Drosophila melanogaster: one gene and its partners. The protein of the gene in region 3 interacts with the protein of the main gene of each other region in a pairwise test. Each region holds a gene or a part of one and is shown on either strand. Other genes may lie near its edges.

Region 1 (3,188 bases), on a different chromosome or scaffold from region 3:
AATCACTGGTCGAGGAATCCTTGGCGGCACAATGTCCACCTCTACAATTGGCCTTCCACCGTGATGGTGATGATGGTGATGACGACGTTCCTCCTCGTAGTACGGCATTTTCTTCAGAAACTATCCAAGTATTGTATCCTTAGTGGGTGAAGTGAATGCCTTTGACTGCTTTCTCGAACTGAACTTGCTTCTTCGCCTGCTTAACTATTTAAGTCAATTTTTATCGCTAATGAGGGGGAATTTTTTTTCCTAATTTTGTTATGTGCGTTTTGCACAGTAGCTTAGTTGGTTATCTTGTCAGGTGGAATAAATGTGTTTTTTTCGATAAAAAAAAAATAAAATTGATAAGTGCCATTTGATAAATACGAAATTCCGAATTGAATTTCATGAGGAGAGTTCAAGGTTTCCATGAATCACAATTTTATATTTAAGAGGAAGGACTTAATTCCATGCTTCTGATTGATGACTCACACTAAATTACATAAACATAAATAAAATCGATAATGCAGTATTTAGAATATTTTTAGAATTAAAGACGGGTAGGTTTTTTGAAGAGCAAGATATTTTATTTATTTCGTTTTAAGGTTATATAGCACAATTATATTTTCTTTGAAACGGTTAAAGTTAAATTCCAGTTTTGTTTTTTTGTACCTTCCTCTGGTTATTAACTTGTTAACTTTGTGGTGCGTAATGTCAAGACCATTGCACCATTTGCGTTGTCATTTCAACTTAAGATTAGGACAAAGTGATATTTGTTTTGATTTCTTGTTATCTATCCCTTCCTTCACTCCATCGATAGTATATTTTTTTTTTGTTAGTGGTGATGGCTTCGTTTCCATTCCGACCTCGTTCACCACTGCGGATACGGTGGATTGTTGTAGGGCTGCTGATACTGGTACTGATACTCGTACGCCTGCTGCTGCTGCTGCGGATAGTATCCATTGGTGGTGGCCACCGTGACGCCGCCGTAGGGTTGCGGCATTATCACCTGTGTGCCGGGCACATAGGTAGCCGCCGGGGTCATGTAGACTACCTCGGCGGGCCGAGGCGGAGGCGGCGGCGGATAGTAGCCGCCACCCCAACCGGGAACCACATCAATTTCGATATTTGGACGACCATGGTGATGGCGAGGAGGATAGCCACATGGATCTTCATAGTACCGCATAGTTGATTAACTAGCCAAATAATCAACCAGCCAACCGAACCAACTTCACCACCCAGCAACGCGTTGAATACTGGAAAGTCCGTGGCACAACACGTCTAGCTCGAAACAAACTGGAACTGCGAAGCTCCATCAATCAGGGTTTGTGGGAATTATTCCAGTGGTTAGAGGCAAAGATAAGATGGCTTAGTCATTCGACAAGGTCTGATAACAGCGACCGGACAGTTGTGCATTTACAGGTGATCGGGTTTCGCTATTTTACTCGCATTTTGTTTACTATATTAACTGATTCCGGCTTATCTATGGGTAACGCGTTATTATTTCTGATATAGGAGCATAGAAGCATTGACAGAGCATTGGTGAAAATGAATTAAAGTTTTGCTAGACATTAACAAAACAACAAGTGATTGCCGTCTAAATTAACCAGGTGTTCCGATAAAGACTTAAAAAAAAAAAACACGGATTAGAGATTTTGATAATAAAAAGAGGGAGTGTGTGTGATGGAATCAACTCGATTGAAACTCAACCATTACTCATGACAAATATGCAAAAAAACTAAAAACTATAAACTAAAACTTAGTTTATAAGGTTATACTTTATTGAGGACATATAGTTGTTAAGTAAGGCTACGTGGTATAAATTCATTGTGAAGGATTTTACAGATCAAAGTTCCTTCTCAATACTGTGGATTGTGGTAGTGGCTGCTGCCGGGCGGTGGTGGTGGTGGTGGATTTTGGTAGTACGGTGGCGGAGGCGCCTGTTGCACCACCATGACTGGTGGCGGTGGCGGAGCCTGCTGCTGCACCACCACAACTTGGGGTGGTGGGCGGTGATGGCGGCGTGGCCATGGTGGTGCAATCTGTACCTTAATCACGGGTCCACGACGATGAGGCGGTCCGCCGCAATGATCGTGGGGTGGTGGTGGCATAGTGGTGCACTAATCTTCTGTAGAAAGTCCGTCCAAATGTGTCGACTTATCGCTGGTAACTGAATTAAGCGAATGCCCAACTCATGGGACTGACTAACCAAACAAACGCCAAAATATTTGCCGTCATAAAAAAGCTCAATATCAGCATTTGCTGATAGCGAATAGGTAGGTAGGTACTCTTAATTATTTCTATTGACGAAAGTATTGCTTCTAGAGCAAAGTTATCGATAAATAAACTGAAAATTGGCAAATGGTAAAGCTTTTTTCGAATAAGCTTTTCAATTCAAATTTGAGCCTGCATATCAATAGATTTTCCTCGTTTCTTTAATGAGTCATGTTTGGTTTTTTCCGGGGATTTCTCCTTAACTTACATATAGTCATGTAAATACTTGTTTAAAGTTTTAAAAAGAAATAAAGTATTTCGTTGTCACGAAGAAAGGAAATGAACCAACGTGCAAATATTTGTATTTGGTTAAATGCGATTAAATTCCTTAACTCTAGTGAAAACAAACTTTAGCTTGAGAAAATGTTGTCAAGCCACAAATATTTATCCAATTTTCAGCCCCGAAAAATTCCCAATAATTCTTTACACATTTTCCTTAGCCGGCAAATATTTGGCAAACATTTGCACGTCTATTATGCAAAGTTTGCAGACACGATTTTGCCTCGAGGGGCGACGTGGGTAAATATTAAATGTATGGATAGAAAAACATGGTAATTTCTGACGGTCAATCAAGAAAAGTCTCTCGGGACTCTCTGAATCTCAATCACTTGATCAAATAAAATTCGGAATATTCGATTTGACAACCAGGAGAGCGGCAGCCTTTTTGGCTGTACTTAATTGAGTGGTTCGTGCTGCATTTCGCATTTCATTCGCTCTTTGAATTGTCACTTCGATCAAGGAACTGGGGTTAAGGGTTACGGCTTAAGGGTTAAGGGTGCTTGCCCTAAAAAGTTAAACATGCACAAAGTGGCAAACGAGTTTCGGGCAAAGTTTTCAACTGACGCAAAAGAAGGAAGGAAATGAGTGCCGCATAACGCGCAACATATCGACTGAGCTTTTGTGGGCGCGCTGCGTTGGTGGGGCGTGGCAGGCCG
Region 2 (4,583 bases), on a different chromosome or scaffold from region 3:
ATAACCGGAAGTTCAAGGGTTACGCATTACCATATATGTATATTGTAACAATAAAAAATGGAGCATCCATAAATAAATTTAAAAACATTACAATTCGATTTTGTAGATTTAACGATCTTGTTTCTGATTAACCAATTATAATTGTTTCCGTTTCTCTAATAAATATTTCATTATCAATCAAGTTATTGCAGTCTTATCATGTTTGGACAAGATAGTGATAATGAGTACACTTTAGTGACTTGTTGTATGCTAATTAAAGGCTGAATGAAATGCAGCTCGAAATGCTATAAATGCACCGCCCACTGCAAGTTATTCATTGGTTTTGGTTTGTAGATCACCGATCGTCGCTGCAATGAAGTGTAAGTACCTGAAAAGAAAATGAATATTATTTTTTTAATATTAAAGACAAACGCTTCTGGGTTTCAGTGGTCTGGATGTTGATGTCCTTGCAGCTAATGCTTTTGGCAACTGCTCTTAGTGCCAGGCAATGTGTCAAGCCAACTGCTTCACCAAAGCCCCCTGAGGATCCTGACGACCCCACTGATGATCCCTGGGATCCCACAGATGACTCATCGGAGGACCCATCCGATTCGACCGATGAACCATGGAAGCCCACTGCTAAGCCCACAGTAGTACCAACTGAACCGCCCTCGAACATTACATCTACTGAAAATCCATCGGAGCCAACTGAAAATCCATTGAATCCCACGGGAAGTCCCACCAACGACGAACCATCGGAGCCAACCGAAGAATCCACTGAAAATCCATCGGATCCCACAGGACAGCCCACTGGAGAAACGTCTAATCCATCAGATCAACCCACTGACAGTCCCACAGGTCAACCGACTCAAGAAACAACTGAAGAGACTAAAATACCGGCGGGGGAAACCACCAATGAAGGTACTTCGGATTCCACTGAAGAGCCCACTGGAGAACCATCAATTCCCACGCATGAGCCAGAAGAATCCTCGGGCGATCCATCAGATCCGACAAGTGCGACCACCCAGACAATTCCCAACGTGGATGCGAACGCCTCCTGTAGAGCTCATCAAGGTGTGCAATTTCTGCCACATCCGTACGATTGTCATTTATACATACATTGCGATGGAGATATTGGATTCATCAAGGATTGTCCAAGTGATCTGTACTGGAACTCGGTAAACCAGACTTGCGACAAGACCTGTGCCTAAGCAAATAAAGTAAAGTAATGTACATAAAGTACAAATAAATAGCATGCTCTCAAAAAACGTTATTTTACCTATCTGGCTTTTCTTTTAACTTTTGAGTGATCTTGAGGTGGAACAAGACCTTGCTCGTGACATTCATTCATAACTTTGCGAATTCCAAACACCAAACTTTGGGGAGTGTCTACACTGAAATAGGTGATGACTTCCAGGAATTACAATTCCCAAAGTTCACACCTCAATTAGACTGACATGAAAGGGCCATGTCTAACATGATCGGCATAATTGATAGAGATAAGGGACAATTAGAGTCAGTCGAAAATAATGTGGTATATAAAAGGCACTAACTTTTTGGCAATTATGTGGAGTACATCTCGATCATCACAAGTGGAATAATAGAAGTGAACAAGATGAAAGGTGAGAGTGTGAAGTACCCAAATAGTAACATGGACTCTAGTTACTTTTCTCGTATCCAGCTACTCTGCTCACTGTGGTGGCACTCACTGCAGTGGTTGCCCTAGTTGGAGCCGCCGATCCTGAATGCATATACCGGAGGACTAGGAACCTTCCGATGCACTGGCCGAAACCCCTGAACTGTTCCTCCTACTACCGTTGCACCGCCAAGAACGCCGTTCGCACGGTGACGTGTGCACCCGGCAAGGAGTACAACCCCAAGAATGGCAAGTGCACAATGGCAGGACGAAGTCTCTGCAAGCTGAGTCTTTTAGCTCCACTCGCTGAGGTAGGTTCTAGATTCGCTTTTAGAGTTAGATAAAGACCCATTTATCCCAACCCTTAACTTCTATCCGAACTTCTGTAGGCCACCAATGTGTGCTCCACCGAGGTGAACGGAGCGTACATAGCCAATAGTGGTTCTTGTGGCGAGTTCTACATCTGCGACGAGCAGATTGCCTATCCACAGAAGTGCGATTTAGGAAGCTTCTTCAATGAAACCCTGGCCGCCTGCATACCGGATGCAAACTCCACGTGCTGGCAGAACCTGTGCATCAATAAGACCAATGGTGTCTTTGTCGAAAATGAGGCGAACTGCGGTAGCTACTACGTGTGCTCCAATGGAGAAGCCACTCTTCAGACTTGTCCCCAAGGCAGCTTTTTCAACACCTCAGTTGCCGCCTGTACTGTCGATCAAGGAAACTCACAATGCTGGGTTAACTACTGCATTGGACAGGATGATGGGTCCGCTGTGGCCGACAAGTCCAACTGCTCCTTGTTCTATGTGTGCTCCAACAATACGGCTACTGCTCAAGAATGTCCCGAAGGAAGCTATTTTGAGAGTAATAACTGGGGTTGTGTTCCCGGCACTTGCACCACAGAGTCACCATGCGATGATTCCACAACCACTACCACTGAATCTTGTGCTGAGGAGACAACGGAACCTCCGGCATCCTGCGATTGCGGTGATATTAAGAACGCAGACTTCATTCCCGATGAAGAAAACTGTCGCAAGTACTTCATCTGCATTGATGGTGTCCTGGTGGCCGCGGATTGCGGCAAGGGTAACGTGTTCAATGCTAACCTCAGTGTTTGTGAAGTTGATGCTGACAACACTTGCTGTGTGGCGGATTGTACAGATGGCGAAGCAAAAGTGGATCCCCAGGACTGCACCAAGTACTTCAAGTGTCAAAGTGGCGACTGGACTTCCGTTTCCTGTGATAGTGGCAGTTATTTTAATGAAACTCTAAACTGCTGCCAAGTGGATGTGAATAATGTGTGCATTGATGCCAAGAGCAACTCAACACAGATTCCCACTACCTCAACCGTTGAAACTAGTTCCGTTGACAAGTGCAATGCCAAGGATCCTCCAGCAAGTGGAAAGAACTGCTGGACATACCAGCACTGCATCAGTGGCCAGTGGGAGGATGGCACTTGCCCCAATAACACCTACTTCGACGCCTCCGTTGGCATTTGCCGCGAGGACACCGAAAATGTCTGCCCGGAAAACAGATCGAGCGGATCGCGCCAAAAGCGAAGTGTGGAGGACTGCACCTGCGAGGGAGGCATCGCGCAGGGAACCATTATAGGTCACTCGACAGACTGCGATAAGTACCTGATCTGCGAGAATGGTCAGTTGGTAGAGGGTGTGTGCGGGGTGGGCAATGTCTTTCAGAAGTCCAGCGGCATCTGTGTTCCAGACACCAAGGCCACCTGCTGGGTGTGCTCCAACAAGCCGAATGGCTACCAGATGGCCGATCCGACCGACTGCACCAGCTATTTGACCTGCTGGAATGGCCTGGCCACAAAGCACACATGCGGCTCCGGCGAGTGGTACAACGGCGATGGTAATTGCGTCATCGATGTGAATGCCAAGTGCATCAACCCATGCTCCTGCGGCAATGGCAACGTGGCCCATCCCATCTGTACCAATTACTTCCAGTGCACGGACGGAGTGCCCCAAGTGAAGCAATGCGTCGTTGGAGAGGCCTTTGATTCAGCAACTGGTCAGTGCTCCACTACCGTAGAGTGCTCCGCCAAAAACTGCGCAACCGCCAGTGATGGCACCACCTACCCTGTCGCTGGAGAAACTGGCCAGTTCTACGTCTGCCTCAGCAACGAGGCCACCATTCAACCCTGCCCGGTTAACACTGGTTACTCCGCCGCCCTGGGTATATGCCTGGACCAACCCAGCGTAAGTTAAACAAATTAATTAAGAAGTGAAAAAAGATCGATAAGTTTTACTCTTTCTATATTAAGTTTATCCAAAATACCTCGTTGTTTTCATCAAATTTAGCCCGATTGCGACCAGACCATTTGTAACAGTGCCGCTGTGGACTCGACGTATCCATCTAACGACAACGATTCGTCGACCTTCTGCCTGTGCCGGGATAGTGGTGCTTATATTCAATCGTGTCCAACCGGATTGTTCTACGACGCAACGGATCAAGTCTGCACATTCGTAAGTAGTCGCCAGGAAAAATACGTAACGCGTTTCCAATAACTATCCTTTTATTTCGCTATTACAGTCCGGAAACTGCGATCCTCAGGTCTGCAATGACCAGTCAGAGTACTTCGTCTCTCCGGACTACGAAGACCCGAACAGTTTCTGCTTGTGCCGCGCTGGCGAACCCATCACTGTTTCCTGTCCAATTGGCTACACTTTCAATACCGAGGAGCTCGAGTGTGTTCTTATTCCACTGCCAGATGTAAGGCATTTAAATCCGTCCTGAAGTACATTGAACATGAGTTGATGATTTATTCAAAATTCTTTTACAGCCCCGCTGTTGCGCCAATGGATGCTCAGGAAAGACGGACTTCTCTACTTTTCCAACTATTGAAGGTACCGACGGCTTCTGTCTCTGCGTGGACGATGTTCCCAAGTACATTAGCTGTCCGGAAAACTCCCAATACGATTTGGAGCTAGGTGCCTGCACCGCCACTGAG
Region 3 (5,006 bases):
AGTGCTGAATAATCGTCGTCATAAGGAGGCTAGAATGTGGCTCAATGACCTGCAGAATAACGAATTTGGTCCCGAGGCCGTCAAGGACAGCGAAAGAAAGCGTTTCCTTAGGGAGCAGATCATGGAAATACAGATGCTACATCTGCGTTTGTCCTTTTTAGTATTTGGCGAAGTTGAATTCTATACTGGATTCAAAAAGATCAAGCTACATGAACTGCTCGAGAATGGACTCGAAGAGTTTCCACGAAATATGGTGTTTCTACAGCTGTGGGCCAGCTTAAAATCGATTATGTGGCACAAGCAGCGTAGCCGGCTCATACGCACCAAAGCCGGCATCGCTTCACTGGCGCACTTGGTCGTTGCGATTCACAATCGCTTTGGAATCGTAGATACCAACGATAAGTTTTCAAAGGAAGCCACAAGGAAGATGGTGTGCAATCGTTTGGTCAGCATTGTCGAGACTTTTCTCCCGACCAATTTAGATCGTTTGGATGTGGAGGAAGAGCATTATCGCATACTGCGCAGGAACTCCATCTATTGGCGCTTGTACATGATTGCCCTATCCAAAACGAATGCCTCGTTTAGGCGCAGCAAAGAAGTCCTTATAATGGCCATGGACGAGTGTCCCTGGGACAAGTCACTACTGATGGAAGGCGCCAAGGTTTTGCCAGTGAAACTAGCATCGCTACAGGACCTGATGACCGAAAAAGAGATTCGCATTTTCGCTATGCCCGAGGAAGTGGACGTCTTGAGGGGCTTTTAAGTCGCTTTGGTTTTATTCGTTTGTTTTGAGGTTATTTGCCATTCGGGCGACTCGATAAGTTCGCATCATAAATATATTTATTTCTTCAAACAATCTAGTTCTGAAGTTTGCTTCAACTTTAAGTTAACTGGCGAAATTGCGATAAGCTGTTTGCAGTTATATGCGTACATGCATATTTTACTACATATATCCTAAATCGCTTATCAGAATTGGCTCACTAACAAATTCAGAATTAGCGATTTTGCTACTCAAAAATACTCGCCGTTCGATTATGTTAAAAAAAAATTCCAACACTTTATCGCTCGTTGCTGTGCAAGGAAACCAGAGTCGCATATCGAATGTCGGAGATTAGTCCAACTTCATCTTCTGGCCAATCCGCTCCCCCCGAATCCAGCATTTTCTTGTGTTTATTATTTTGATTGTGTTTATCGCAAGATAACCGAACAAAACTCATAAGCCAAAACAGCGCCGAAAGAATCACTGCGCACCTGAGGTCGCAATTGTAGCACCTGGAAGCTGTGAGACGAACTAAATACAACATATTTGTTATGTCATTTTCATATCGCTGAAATGAAACATATATTGCAAATAGCTTATTTTTATATTACTGAAATTTAAAATATATTGCAAATAGTTTATGGTTCTGTTTATTTAAATTTATTAAATCATTTAAATATGCAAAAGAAATTAAGAAGTTTTCTACATTTGTAAATTACAAATAAAAATATTTATATTCCTATTTAGCTATGAGTAGTTTTAACAGCTAACTTGTTAAATATTGATAAATTTAGATTTAATATGTACACATTAAAGGATTTGTATTAAATGACATGAATGATATTGACGATAAAATGATTGATATTTTGTATGCGATCTGTTTGTGTGACCGCAAGTGTGGTGGCCAAGTTGCGTGAGCGCGAGCGAGACGGCTGTGGCTGAGTGTTGACTCGTCTCGAATGTTGCGTATGCGCCCTGTCTGCCCAGCCACTTAAGACTCCTGTGCGTTACTGTTGCTCTTTGGAAAAGCGTGGAAATCGGGAGAGGAAACGCTGTGATTGGGCAGAGGGGTAGTGGGGATGAAAAGCTCCGCTCGCCGAAACGCATCGAAAGCTGTCTGAGCGCGAGAGTCCTGGCTGCTGTCCATTCGCACGTCCGTCTGTTCGCCTGCTCGTCCACCCATCCGACATCTTTGGACCGGGCTTCATCGATGGCAGTCGGTCGGCATCTGTCCAAGTCCCACGACGCGTTGTCGCTCCGCATCGGCCGTTGCTGCAGTGGAAGCGGCCCGTTTGGCCAAGTGGCGTCTCCGTAGTCCCTAGTCTCATGGCGGCGGAGTCTCCTCTCAAGGTTTCCCAGGCACTCCAGACCGTTTCCAGTTCCTAGGTTAGTGCTAGAGCTCGGAATATCTGGCCAGTATCAGGCCAATCCATATATAATAATATATACATACATATATATATATATATGTATATATCGCTATAACGGCCGAGTGTTTTTTGTTCCATTTCGTTTCGATAGCGAGTGTAATTTTTTTGAGAGTGCTCCCCCGTTCTAAGTCGTGTGTGTGTGTGTGTTTCTCTTCCTGTTTGGGTGTGTGTGCTGCGATGTCTCTGTGTTGGTGTAGAGCAGAAGCAAGAAGAAGCAGCATTGTGTAAGACGCCAGCGTCAAGTTCGTAGACTAAACACCAACCTTCTTTTGCGGCTCTACTCTAGCAAAGGGGAAAAGCTTTTCAGAGAGGAAACTCAGAAAATGAGAAAACGATAGAGACAGAGAGCGCAGAGAGTCAATGTGCACTGCTAGAAAATGTGGGGAAAACCAGTTTGCGAGCATGCGATTCGTGACAGTTTGCATATTTTTTAAGCATCTTTATCTCAGATTTCCAAATCTATAACTCAAATATTACTAAATTTATTACAGATAAGTGTAATCAAAATAATTGATAGCTTATTATTATTATTATATAATGCTTCCTTGGAGATTGTTATAAACAGAGGAGATTCAAGTGATTTTTTGTGCAAAACTCTAGTTTTAGCAACGTTTTCTTTTTTCCCGGTGTACTGGGTGAGCATGAACTCGCCGAGGGTTTCCCGGCCGGAAACCTTAGTCAAGGTCTCGCCAGCTTTCCAACGCAGGTTGTTGCTGCGCTCTCGCTCACACTCGCTGCTGGTGGGCGTTTGGCCAATCGCCATCTCTGTCGCACCGCTGTCGGTGACGAGCGAAGCTTTTATTGTATATTTCATCTTTCACGCTCTTTTCCCTGCCATTTCTGCTTCTTTGGGGCAGCGGCACCTAGAGCGGGAGCGGGAGCGGAGTGGAGCGTGAGTGGAGCGTTAGCTTTCCGGGCAGCTGATTCGCGCTCGGCTCGGCTCTCCGCTGCCGTTGCCGCTGCCGCCGTCGCTGCTCCGCTCGTCGTCTGGCTGATTAGTTTAGTTTGTGATTTCAATATATGTAATTAATTTTTGTTTCTGTAGCGGTACGGACGGACGCGTCGCGACGTTCGCTTGGTCCGCTTGGTGTTCGTTCGGTTCGCTTGGAGCTTGGAGTTCGAATTCGGTTCGCCAGCCGTCGCTGTTTCGTATTTATTATTATTTTTTATTTTTTTTTTATGAGTATATTCGTATTTCGCATTTGTATCTGAATGTTTCTTTGGCTCTGCGTACGTGTGTGAGCGATTGTGCGAGTTTCCTTCTCTTTCAACTTGCCTTTTTCGTGGTCGCCGCCGCTGCTAAAATGCAAAGAACACGCTCGAGCAACGTAAATGGCGCCGCGTTAACGAATGGAATTGGATTATCAAACAGTGCCCCCCAGAGCCCCATATAAAAGTTGAAAAAAAAAATAAAATAAAAAACAAAACGAGGAATTAAAACCGAAATAAAACAGGCAACAAACAAACTTCGTTTTGACAACCCCCCCGCCTTTTTTTTTGTTTGCGTGTGTGTGTTTTGTGCCAGTGCTTGTGCTATAGTGTAAAAAAAAAAGTTTGAAACAACAAACCAAAAACGCGCTCGAGGGGAAATATTATCAAAAAGGTAGATGGCGGTGACCTTAAATCATATAGTAATTATAGGGCTATCTTCCAGTTGGACAGTTTCAACAACCAAACGTTGGTGTATGAAAAACTCCAATTATCCTATTATACGACTAGTATGTATATTCATAAGCCCAATGGGGCTTAAATACCGCTGTTGGTGTGTTGTTGAACAAGCTTGAACAAGTATTTTTTTGTGCTCTACGTTGGTGCATTGGAGTGTAGATATAGTTTCAACAACCGACCAACCACCAAGCGCAAAATTAATATTGTTGAAACGTTCGAGCTTAGCAGCTGTTGGTGAACCGTTGTTGGTGTATTGTTGAGTGCGCGGCATTAGATGCTGTTGATCAGAGTACTTTTGGTACTCTTGTGATCCTGTTTCATTTCCGTTTTTGTTCACTGATTTCGATGTTTTCTTGTGCAGAGAATTGGTTTTATATGGTGTAGCCTACGAGTACGAGCATATGTGCTGAAATCAGCGGCGCGTGCGCGCATTTTTGCGCGATCGAAACCCGAGAACGATTCAGTTTTTTGTTGAGTTGGGAAAAGTTTCGATTTACGAAAAACATTCCCACTGTCTGTGTTTGTCATCCTTCGAAAATCTGCTTAGCCAACATTAACGTGTTTGCCCATCCACAAACACATACAAATGCATACAAAAAAAAAACTATCACATTCGCATCGACACAATCAATGAGGCAAGACAAATAAAATTAACATATTAATGAATTTCCAGTTTCTTTTTTCGACTTATTTAATTTTTTAATAAGAAAAGAAAAAACAGAAAAACAAAACAAGCGTGAAGAACTCGAGTCTCTCGACTTCGGCATACCCAAAAAGCACGAAAGCGGGAAGTGTGATTATGGCCAAAATTCCAGATCTGCGCTTTAATGGGTGTGCGAAGATCAACGGATTCCAATGAATATAGATGTTATATGGCGGAGCACTTTATGATGGGTTCTTAGCCTCCCTTGAACTTGTGGGCAGCATGGAAAGAGTGCGATGGAACTGAGCTTTGGATGATAATAGCAATAAAAGTAAATATAAATAGCCCAGCATCAGGTATTTGTTGGCAACAATTTTTCAATGATTTACCAGTTCCGAGTTCCGATCAATAAAAGTGTTTTTTTTCTGTTTTTTTTTTTTTTGCTATTCGGTTTGGTTTTTTCTTTCCAATTTTTGTTTTTTGTTCGGCTGCTTTGCTGCTGCTC
Region 4 (3,769 bases), on a different chromosome or scaffold from region 3:
GTGCGCAGCCCATAAATAAATATATAAATTTAAATAAAGGCCGCCGCAATACCCGCACACTCACAGTTTGTTTGTCAATAAATCAGAATACTTATCAACGTCAAAGTACCGCAAAGAATGTGAGCAAACAATAAGAACTAAATGTGTGTGTGTTTCAGGAGGTCCATCAGTTTATTGGGAACTATTAAAGTTATTTATGAAAATAAATGGAATACCTACAACTTAAAAATAAAACCTTTCATTGAGCTACAAACATTTCTACACAGTGCCTAAATTATTCGACAAATGCGCCTCTATCTTGACTCCAGCAGGCATTGTGGGTGCCAATTTATGGGCAATCTGTGCTTATTTTCCCATTTCCCAGCCCAACATTGTTTTGGGCCTAGTCCCGAACTAAGTCCGCTAATTGCGCCGCCTTAGCCGGGCCATCTCGACCGGGTTTCGGGGAAGGCCCCGTCCATAATTATGCGAAATGTGCGCCATTTCTTCGGACTGTTGCCTGTTATTGTTTGCATTATTAGCTGACAATTTCGGTGGCACTGTGATGCCAAGTGGTGGGTCTGTGATTAGGCCGGCTCTTTGGGCTCTGGAAATTGTGGGATTAGCAGGCGCTTTGTCTGTGGCTAGAATCTTGGTCGGGCACCATCAGCCTGTCGCTCGATAAGCGCTCCAGGGCAACTCGAGTCCAAGAAGTTGATGTTTTTCTTGCATGATTACGACCATAAGCCAACGGCGTGTTATTGCAGGCCAAAGAAGTGGACGGTTTTCTTGGGAAACGCCCGAGTTCAAATCGATTGAACCAATGTTGCTCTTTAAATTGGTTTAATTTAGACATTTATTGTATCTCAACTTCCTGGAAGCAACTTGATTAAATTTCCTAATTTAAATAACCGGAACTATTGGACAGCAACTAATTCTGAAGAGCAAAGGCCATCTAAAATATCGCTTGATTTCTTAGCTATCACTAATGTGACTATCAATTCGAGGAAATGAAATTTTGTAGAATTAATAAAAGTCGTGTGTTATTAAGAAAATATTAAAACGTATTATATTTATTGTTTGAATACCAGAACGTTTCTTATTCCGAGCACATATTGTAGCGTTTGCCCCTCGCTTTTGGCATTTAAAATGGAGCAAATATTTTAGAATTCACCTGAATCGCATGCAAAAGCCTTTGTCAACATCAATGGTCCGCTGTGACCACGCTCTTTGTTGTAGTTTTTTGTGAATGCGCAATTGTTCAGTGTCGTCATGGCTGTGGCATGCACAAAGCGCCGATTGCAACGCCCATCCATCCACCCAGCAACCCCCCCCCCCCCCCACCTACTAAAGCTTTCAGGATATGCCATCCAACTACCAACTACCATACCGACCAAAACGCTTTTTTTTCGGCGCTGACATGTCCAGGCACTGGGGCAAAAACAAACCCATATATGTATATTCAATAGGCCGGGCGCTGCCAGAGTGTTTTCCGACGTTTTTCTGTAATTCGTTGTAGGTTTTTTCCAAGTTGGCTTTCGGCCGGTCCGAAAAAAGCGGCCTGCCTACATAAAGGCGCTAGCATATTAAAGGCTTAAACCCACTCAACGGCAGATGCCATATTGTTGAAATATATGCAGATACGTCGCGCATACGTCATGTGAAGATGGAATCCGGTTTGCAAAATGCATTCCATTCAAGCAGCGTTCTGTGATTTTTCATTGCAATCGGTTAAGCAATCGAATCCACCAGATTTATGTATTGTAAGCATATATTTCCATTCAAAGCTCAAAGCGATTTTCACCTTACCTGCACAACAAAAACACTACACTAGGGTGTGATCGTAGAGCTCGGTTTTTCAAATTTCGATCGAAGTGGGCCTGGATTATTGTGCAATGCTGTCGTCCTACTGTTATATCTCATTCAGTTTCCTGTTTCGCTCCGAATAACTTCCAAATTGAACAGTAAAAATTTGTAACAAAAATAAAGTATAATATTTTTCTAGAAATTTTATTTTGGAAAACTTAAGTCGAAAACATGTGCTCTCCGTGCGGTCCTTGTAGTCCATGCGATCCCTGCTGCGGTCCCTTCGAGTGCTCACCCAAGTGCTATAATGCCGCCCAATTGGAGGCCTTGCCACAATGTGCTCCACGTATTCCACCTCCCTTCCCCAAATGCATCACCGTGCAGCAACCACCACGCATGATCTGCAAGAAACGCGTGGTGTTCACGGAGAAGATTGTGCCGGAGCCAATGGTGGTTAACCGATGCAGACAGATTACCATTCCAAAGGTCGTTGATGCCACGCGGGTGATCAAGGTGCCCAAGCTGATTTGGGTGTCGCAGATGGTGCGAGAACCCAGAGTAATCTACTACCCCTCGATGATCCCCGATCCCTATGTGGTGTGCTATCCCAAGCGCGTCTGCGAACCCCGGGAGGTGTGTCAGTCGATCCTGTGCCAGCCGAAGCCACAGACCATCGACATTCCGCCGCCAAGGGAGTACTGCTGCTATCCAAATGGACCCATCAACTACAAGCCCAGTGCAGCGTGCCCACCCTGCCCCATTGGACCATGTGCTCCTGGAGGACCCTGCTGTCCGCTGCCCTGCTTCTCCACAAACCAGTATCCCGTTGCCGAGGGTAGGTGCGGACCCTGTGGACCTTGCGGTCCAGGATGCGGACCCTGCGGTCCGCGATGTGGTCCCTGCGGACCCGGCCCGTGCGGACCCTGTGGGCCGAGATGCGGTCCGGGTGGACCGTGCGCCGTGCCCAATTGCGGGCCCTGCGGCCTCACAATGCCGTCGGGTCCGTTTGTCCCGGCTCCGTGTGGACCCTGTGCTCCATGCGGGCCATGTGGACCGCTCGGCAATAGTCCTTGCGGTCCTTGCGGACCCTGCGGACCCTGTTCGCCCCCGTGTCCGTACGAGTCACCCGAGTGCGGCCCCTGCTACCCGTGCGCCCCAACTCCCTGGAATACCCACTGCGGCCCAGTTGGTCCTTGCGGTCCTCAAGTGCCTTGTGGACCCAGCGGCCCCTGTTAACATCATCGTTGTGCTGCCTGGATTGTTGTCAGAAACCGGTGCCCAGTGGACCAACTTGTCTATCACCAATACAGATTGCCATAGTGTATTCTCGCCGTTCTGCTCAAACACCACCAAAAAAGTCTACAGTTCTCTATACTTTGTCAACGCATGGACGACTCATTGGCTGTAAATAAAAATCGGATTTATGCATATATAAGGTTTTTTCAATTTCTTTTGACAGGTTATGCAATGGTTTCTATCCAGATAAAATTTTCTACCAAATTTTTGTCAAATAGTAGGCCTTGCCTCTGCTTGTCAATCTACCTATGTTCGTTACTCAGGCTTAGCTCGCATTTTGAATCCGGTTTCGCTTCGATACACTTCTAAATTTCTCTGATCAAATTTTATAAGAAACAAAAAACAAAAATTAACTTTTTACTCTTTCGGTTTATTCTAGTCGAAACTTAAAATGTGCTCTCCGTGCGGTCCTTGTAGTCCATGCGATCCCTGCTGCGGTCCCTTCGAGTGCTCACCCAAGTGCTACAATGCCGCCCAATTGGAGGCCTTGCCACAATGTGCTCCACGTATTCCACCACCCTTCCCCAAATGCATCACCGTGCAGCAACCACCACGCATGATCTGCAAGAAACGCGTTGTGTTCACGGAGAAGATTGTGCCGGAGCCAATGGTGGTTAACCGATGCAGGCAGATCACCATTCCAAAGGTCGTTGATGCCACGCGGGTGATCAAGGTGCCCAAGCTGATT

What was found.
Region 1: the proteins of gce (region 3) and CG15422 interact in a two-hybrid assay, tested with the Drosophila melanogaster proteins (one large-scale study listed by BioGRID).
Region 2: the proteins of gce (region 3) and CG43896 interact in a two-hybrid assay, tested with the Drosophila melanogaster proteins (one large-scale study listed by BioGRID).
Region 4: the proteins of gce (region 3) and Mst98Ca interact in a two-hybrid assay, tested with the Drosophila melanogaster proteins (one large-scale study listed by BioGRID).

The regions. Positions count from the first base shown.
Region 1 is NT_033779.5:4,003,033-4,006,220, reverse strand, and holds CG15422 (uncharacterized protein), read right to left. Parts: upstream 1,238-3,188; 5' UTR 1,166-1,237; coding exon 851-1,165; 3' UTR 551-850; downstream 1-550. Other genes in the region: CG15423 (uncharacterized protein), read right to left, coding at 1-108; CG34176 (uncharacterized protein), read right to left, coding at 1,839-2,090.
Region 2 is NT_037436.4:11,974,570-11,979,152, forward strand, and holds the start of CG43896 (uncharacterized protein), read left to right. Parts: upstream 1-1,541; 5' UTR 1,542-1,594; coding exon 1,595-1,601; intron 1,602-1,660; coding exon 1,661-1,926; intron 1,927-2,004; coding exon 2,005-3,831; intron 3,832-3,933; coding exon 3,934-4,098; intron 4,099-4,165; coding exon 4,166-4,345; intron 4,346-4,415; coding exon 4,416-4,583. Other genes in the region: CG14125 (uncharacterized protein), read left to right, coding at 353-359, 406-1,190.
Region 3 is NC_004354.4:15,295,791-15,300,796, forward strand, and holds the start of gce (germ cell-expressed bHLH-PAS), read left to right. Parts: upstream 1-1,975; 5' UTR 1,976-2,146; intron 2,147-2,246; exon of another isoform or gene 2,247-2,427; intron 2,428-3,218; exon of another isoform or gene 3,219-3,793; intron 3,794-4,718; exon of another isoform or gene 4,719-4,832; intron 4,833-5,006. Other genes in the region: CG5877 (uncharacterized protein), read left to right, coding at 1-763.
Region 4 is NT_033777.3:28,289,443-28,293,211, forward strand, and holds Mst98Ca (Male-specific RNA 98Ca), read left to right. Parts: upstream 1-1,895; 5' UTR 1,896-2,016; coding exon 2,017-3,021; 3' UTR 3,022-3,214; downstream 3,215-3,769. Other genes in the region: Mst98Cb (Male-specific RNA 98Cb), read left to right, coding at 3,473-3,769.